Linked DNA regions of Caenorhabditis elegans. The protein of the gene in region 2 interacts with the protein of the main gene of each other region in a pairwise test. Each region holds a gene or a part of one and is shown on either strand. Other genes may lie near its edges.

What was found. Proteins that work in one complex are often made in the same cells at the same time.
Region 1: the proteins of C49C3.6 (region 2) and sup-46 interact in a two-hybrid assay, tested with the Caenorhabditis elegans proteins (one large-scale study listed by BioGRID).

Annotation. Positions count from the first base shown.
Region 1 is NC_003279.8:10,170,836-10,174,591, forward strand, and holds the start of sup-46 (RRM domain-containing protein), read right to left. Parts: upstream 1,769-3,756; 5' UTR 1,733-1,768; coding exon 1,654-1,732; intron 1,575-1,653; coding exon 1,288-1,574; intron 1,221-1,287; coding exon 1,005-1,220; intron 290-1,004; coding exon 188-289; intron 140-187; coding exon 1-139.
Region 2 is NC_003282.8:17,329,501-17,333,077, reverse strand, and holds C49C3.6 (uncharacterized protein), read right to left. Parts: upstream 1,552-3,577; 5' UTR 1,548-1,551; coding exon 1,435-1,547; intron 1,388-1,434; coding exon 838-1,387; 3' UTR 837-837; intron 784-836; 3' UTR 631-783; downstream 1-630. Other genes in the region: C49C3.7 (Coiled-coil domain-containing protein 176), read right to left, coding at 1-327, 375-499; ceh-88 (Homeobox domain-containing protein), read right to left, coding at 2,381-2,542, 2,600-2,743, 2,788-2,898, 3,283-3,477.

The sequences.
Region 1 (3,756 bases), on a different chromosome or scaffold from region 2:
CACCTTCTTTGTGCTCCAGTTCCTTATCGAATCTATCCATTTTCACAACCAGATTTCGATCAAAAAGTCGCTGACCATTGAGCATCGAAACGGCTTGTACGGCTTCAATTGGGTGAGTGTATTGAATTACGCATACTCCCTGGAAGACACCATTTATATTTTATAGGAACTATAAATATTAACAAACCTTTGACTTTCCTTCTTTATCAATGCGGAAGTCCATCCAGGTGATTTTACCGGCCATACCGAAGACTTCGTAAAGCTTATCGGTTCCGACATTGAAAGCCAACTGAAAATGTTTGATTAATAATATTGTCTTGGAAACAGAAGTGGAATTTCGGAAATTCTATAAAATGACATATTTCGCCATGTTAAATATAGAAAATCACTTTTTTAAATCTGAAAATAACACTTATTTCAGATAAAACACTTGGAAAAGCGCTTCAAAAATACCAGGATGTTGCAAATTGCCGATCATCAAATTGTTGAATTATCGTTTCTCGGCAAATGGCAACTTTTGGTCATTTTCGCGCACTTTTCCAAATGTTTAAAACGAGATAATTTTTTTTTAATTTTCAGATAAATCAAGTGATTATCTACATTTTCAGACTAATTTTTGATGAAAACTTTTGAAAAAAACATGTCGCAATAGGTCATTTTGTAGCATTTCCGAAAATAATTGCCAACCACCTCTGATTGGGAACTAAGAATGGTATTTAGTAACTGAATTAGTGATGCTATATTTTATTCGTATGATACTGAGAGATCTACCCGGAGGATGCAACTGTCTGAACAAACTATAATAAGCACTGATTCCATTTTGTTGTATATAATTCCACGTAGAAAGCTTCCTACTACTATTCCGTTTAAAAACACCAAAATGAAAAATTGCATTTATTTCTCCCATTCGAATAATTTCATATCTCAAAACTGAGATAAAGACCCAGCAAGTGAACGTGGTCTAGATGTGGAGCCCTTCGAGAAGAAGAATATTTGAAACCTACATTGGCGATGAAGATGCGCTCACAGAGTGGCGGTTCAATGTTGTGTTGGCGAAGGAATTCCATATTGAGACCGAATAAATCATAAGTTCCAGTTCGAGTAGGGCGATCAAGATCTTTTGGTGGAGGACCTCGTCCTCCTGCACCACCACCTCCGGTACGAGACAAGTAATCAATGCCTGTTTCAGTTTTGATGGTTCGGAAGAAAGCATTCGGATCCTACAGAAAAAATAAAAAATGGATGAAAATTTCTGAATGTGAGTGTCAAAATTAAATAGATACGGACCCGAATTTCTTTGGCGATGATGGTTCTTCCCTTCCAGTCGAACTTTTGTAGATTCTCAACGCATTTTTCGGCACCCTCACGAGTTTCGAACTCAACCACAGCGTTACCCTTTGGCTTGCCGTTACGGTCTTCGAGCAACTCGCAGAAAGCGACTTCACCTCCTTTCTCGCGAACTAGACTTTTCAAATCGACCCAACGAGCCTCATAGGCGATATTGGTGATAAAAACCATTCGGTTGTTCGATGATGAGTTCCCATTGTTACTTCCAACAGCAGCGCCGATACGACCTTAAGGAAATGGAAAATAGAGAAGGATTTCTATGGAAAAAATGGTGGAAACGGGAATGAAGAATATCAAAAACTATACTTCTTCTTGGACTTCTGGATCGGCTCCGACGCTCTCGCTTAACATCACGCTGTGGTCCGTCTCGACGATTTCTGTTCATGTTGGCTGATGGAACACGGATCTTGGATTAAGCTTTCTGAATGAGTTGAACTAGAATCAATTAGACGATAAGCAAATGTTTTCATATAACAACGGGCTTCTTTAAAAAACAATTGAAATTTTATTTCCATTTTGATTGCTAACAAGTCGAAAATTAATTGTAACTAAAATAATCTGCTCGCTGAGTGGCCCATTTTTATTGTTGAAAGAGATAAAAGATTATTTACTGAACTGTCTCGCCAATGTAATACTTGATTTGACATCGAATTGAAAAACTATGTTACAACAATGATCGAAAACTTATGCACAGATGAGTAAAAAGTTTTGTGATCGCACCTTATTTGCTTCTTTACTTACAAATAGGCCACTCGAGCAAAATTTGACTTGATATCTTACAGAAAGACTAGAATGCTCTAAACTCTCTTAAAATTCCCGAACCGAAAATTAAGTTTTCAAAAAGAGGAACAATTTCGAAATTTATCTATCGGAGCAATTCTCTGAAACATCTTGGAGATTTTCCGACTGATAATGCATATTTAAGCCGCGAGAACCATTTAGCAAATTTTAAAACAAAAAAACGTTTGATTTAACGAAGAAAATAAAGAAAAATAAATACGATAAAAGAGAGAAAAATCGAAATTCGAAAAGAAGAGACGGCGGCAAACACAAGTGTGCATTTGTGCGTCGAGACGAGCCGCACAGCCGACATCAGATTTGACGCCACAAATCGCCGCGAAAAGTGAAGGCTTTTTCTTTGCTGCTAAGCCAGTATTCTGGATCTTTTACGATTTTTTTTTCATTTTCGATAGCATGGTTCTGTGAAACAAGATCTCTGTTCTCTTTGAAACACTCTATTCTATAATTTATTTTATTCTTCAATTGTTTCTTCCATGTTTCCCTAAAAATAATTTTGTTCGTTAATTGTCAATAGGATTTTTATGAACTGAATTCAGTGTCAAATTTCGGAGAAAGAATAGAAAACGTTTTTTGTGAGATAAGCTGCCTCTCGTTTTGTTTTGCCTCCGCATGACAGATTTATTCTCAATTTCACACTAAAAATTATTAATAATTGTACAATTTAGTTTTGCTTCAAGTTCTATAACAACGCGTTTTTGTTTTTTTTTCACAATTCATGCGCTAGCTGTCCAAAAATATTCAAAATGTTTATAGAATAGGTGATTCAACACCAACATTTCAAACTATCGTTCACAAGTCACATTCCAAATGACTAACGTCCATATAAAGTTTCTGATATTGCTCCAATCGTCCCAAATGTCTTATCATATACACTTCATGACGTGTTTTCCCTATTCTTTCTCTTTTCCCGCCGATGACCATGTCTCTCCCTTCTATTCCTCTAGGTTTCACCATACGAATATCAAATCGTATATACATTTAAAAGCCGACGCCTTCTACCATGTCGAACAGTAATCGCATGGAACTAGTTAGTCTTTTCCCAATCGCCGTCATTTCCCTCACTTTTATTCCTTACACTAGATTTTATTATTGATAGAACTGAAATCTTGGTCTTATGTTAACGACAAAAATCGTGCCTCGTTTCATTTTAAATGCAAAACTACCTGCCGTTTATTGCCGCCGTCAAGAGAACAATTCGCACTAGGTTGAGAAGGGCAAAGGTCTTTTATGACCTTTTACGCCCGGGAAGTGAGAAATACCAGAAATCACCTTTTATTTCGATCTATAACTCGAACTTTTAATTTTTCATCTTTAACCAGTGTAGGTTTATTTATTGAATAGATTTGTGTTCCACTCATCTCTTCGGTCAACAGATTTGTTTTCCCCCTGTTTCAAATTTAGCGTGAAGTTTCTACAACAAGACATCGAAATTCCAATTTTATTTCAGTCATATGATTATATATGTTTATGAAAATAGACCTAGTGCCCTGATTGAGAAGACTATATGTTTGTTTTGCTATTGTTTCTATTGTATTTTGCTCGGAAACGTTCTAGATGTCTACAAAGTACAACTATAGTGACTGTAGTTTCGGTTTGCAAAAAAAGAAG
Region 2 (3,577 bases):
TTAAACTGATTTCCTTGTTGTGCTTTCAAGAATTCCAGCTCCTTCTTGAGTTGGTCGGTGACTTTTAAAAGTTCAACATTTTCAGCAGCAGTAGTCTCGAAACAATTTTTGTAGAACTTCGACTCCTCTTCAGCGCTGTCAATTTCGGATTTCAACTTTTTATCAACTTTAAACTGGTTTCCTGGTTGTCTCTTTAAAAATTCCAGCTCTTTTTTGAGTTCATCAGTGGCTTTTAAAAGCTCGACATTTTTAGCAGCAGCTGTTTCAAATCGGTTTTTGTAGATCGTCGACTCCTCTTTAACGATCTTGTACTGGTCTTCAGTGTATCTGTAAATAATTTATATTGTTCTGAATTGCTTCCGTGTAAAACTAACGTCAATGGAAGATTGTGCAGTTTCATCAGAGCTTCCTGTTGTTCGATTTCTTTCTTTTTTCTAGCAAGTGTACCCATAAATCCACAGATTCTTGCATGTTTTTGTCTTTTATTAGGGGGTGGCATGCTTCTGGAAAAAAAAAACTATGATGGAAAGTCTTAACAGGAATTTAAAAAAATTAATAATCGTTGAGATATTTGGATTAAATAATATTATTTTGAAAATGTCAACAATTACAAAAAAAAAAAAAGCTTTTCGAAAATACTTTGTCTATTTATTGGTTTATTCTAATAAAATAAATGCAGTAACGTTTCAAAAACGCTCAAAACAGAAATTAAACGAAGCAGATTTTTGAGTGCTGAGATTCATAAAGTTGAGATGGAATGTGTTGAGTGTCGATTGAGGAATTCTGAAAAAAAAACAATAAAAATTTTCAATCGTTCTTGTAAAATACAAAATTACCTTAATTAACCGACGTCGTATCCAATCCTATCGCCATTTTCAGGAGCATCTCATTGGGTGTTTGGTTGTTCGAGCGTGTGGAGCATTGATTTCTCGGCAGAGATCCACGAGTTGAATTCATTTTTTGAGCTTTCGGTTCTTCTTCCGTTTTTCTACGAGCACTTCTATCAATTTCCAAATCTTCTCGCAGTTCCCACGTGTTACCATTTGAATCATTAGGCACTTCTACGGATTCTACTATGTCGCCCATCATACTTTTCACTCGTGCACTTAGCGCAAGCTTCTCAGCGAGAACATCATAATACCGATTTTGCCAAATTTCTCTTTCACGAAGCAACGTCATATTTGATTGCCTGGTGCTCTCGATTTGGGATTTGAACTTCATATCGACCTTCAACTGATTTCCTTGTTGGTTTTTCAACAATTCCAGCTCTTTTTTGAGTTGATCGTTGGATTTTAGAAGTTCAACGTTCTCGGCGGCAGTAGTTTCGAAGCAATTTTTGTAGAACTTCGACTCCTCTGCAACTTGTTCGTACTGTTCTGCAGTATACCTGTAAATTCGTTCAATTTTTCGCAAAAATATCTAAATAAAACTAACGCTAACGGATGCATGAGAAGAGCTTCATGTCGTTCAATTTCCTTTCTTTTTTTTGCGGGTGGGCCTTTCAGTCCATTGATTCTACCTGCCGCTCGTCTCTTGGACAGTGGCATTTTTCTGAAAAGAACCAATATTTTGTGAGGGAAATTTATAAAATTTCGCAAAAATCAAAAGTAAAACATCGCACGCACATTGATATCCATTAACTGATATAATTTAACAAAAGTGAGACAATCAAGAGAAAAAAGTACAATCAGTCTCGTAAAAAGAAACCGAACAAACAAAATCCGTCTCGTTGTCCCGCGTCTCTCATCTCTGGTGCATGACGCTGGAGCGCACTTTCCTCTTCTAAATTTCATTTTCTGTAGAAACTTTCAGGCTTGTCAGAAACATAAAAAGCCTTGAAATATGCACTTTATAGGATTAAAATGGATCCATCATATTTTTGTATTCAAACTAAAATTGTTCACAGAATGTTTTGTTTGGATATGCAGAAAGAGAATCCAAAAAATACTATGATAAATATTCGCAGTATTTCCATAGGAATATATTTATTGGATTGCTTTGGATAATTTCCTTTTTAAATATCATAATTTTGCAAAAATTTCACACGTCAGTTTAAAGGTACACGCTGATTTCCTGAATAGGTCTCGCCACGATCTCGATCATAGTGGTTGTTAAATACTGGTGCCCTGTGAAGTTTATGTAATTTCAAATTCTGAACTGTGCAGGGAAACCAAAAATTTGTCCGAAGACATTCATAGATTAGTTTTATGTTTTTTTGCGAAGAGATGCTACAGTAATCTCAATATTTTTTTAAATTCTAAGAGCTCATATCACGAAACTACATGAACAACCTAATTATAGATTCATCTCTGTCCAAATTATCAGAAAACACTAGAAACTACAAAGAACTACTTTATTAAAAGAAAAGCATTTCGAATTATTAACAGTCCGTTGAACAAAGCGTCCCACTTTGAGTCACAATTTTAATCAAAATATCTTGAATATTTTGCTGCGTATTTTGCGGAGAAACTTCACGAGTATTCTCCATATTCTCCAAGAACCGCTTGTCTCTTCCTTTTCGCTTCGAGAACCAATCACGAATCTTTAAACAATAAAATTGTTCAACTGGCGCCAAAAGCTTTGCAAAAAGTCTCCTTACCTTCTTCCTCTCCATTCCAGTTTTCTCCACTAATTCCGTATATGGAATTCGAACTTTTCCTCCACCAATCGCCTCTAGTTGCAACATAGTCTCGTACTCCTTCTCAAAAAGTTCCACAGCTTCAGATCGAAAAGTTCCGACTCTCTAAAACAAAGTTTCGATTATTTACCAAACTTTGGAACTCTCACCCCTAAGCCGTTCTTTTTCATGTCTTCTCGAATCCGCTCCCTTCGTTTCTTGTCTTTCTCCGCACTTCGTCCATCAGCTTTACGGCGTTGATTGCAAAACCAGTTGTTGATCTGAATTCAATTATTTTATAAATTTTTGTCTTGAAAAAATTTTGGTCCGACCTATAAATCACCAGGTAGGCTTTTGCAAAGTGGCTTCAAAAATGGAAACTCGGTCATACTCAAAATTTAAAACGGTTTAATTTTTTCCAAAAATATGCCTACAGGTATGATCTATGGAAATATGTTGATCAGTTACTTATACCAACATTTATAATAATTTTATGGGAAGTTGGTAAAAATATATGTAAGAAAAAATTACGAACTATGAAACTCTGCCATTGTTTTTTGCTTTAAAAAAACTTGGAATGAGCTATAATTTAATTGTTTTGGTTTTTTTTTCTTGTGATTTTTTCTGGTCGACAATATTCTGAGACCGTCCTTATGTTCTATTACCTGCTTCACAGTTAAGCCAGTAATTTCTGATAACTCCCTTGCACCATCTGAATCCATTTGAGGTGTAACGAGAAACGCTTGATCCAGAGCACCCCGTTGTTCACTTGTGAACTCATACATTTGCTTGGGTGGCGGGGGCACATACTTTCCAGCTCGTTCATCTTTCTTCCGGAGACGGGACAAGGTATCTCTGACCTAAATTATTTCACCTAATTTAATTAAATTGATAGTTATTCGGAATATAAAGTTTTTAGATTAATTTTTGGTATTTCTTTCCATAAAATATCAAAGCTAT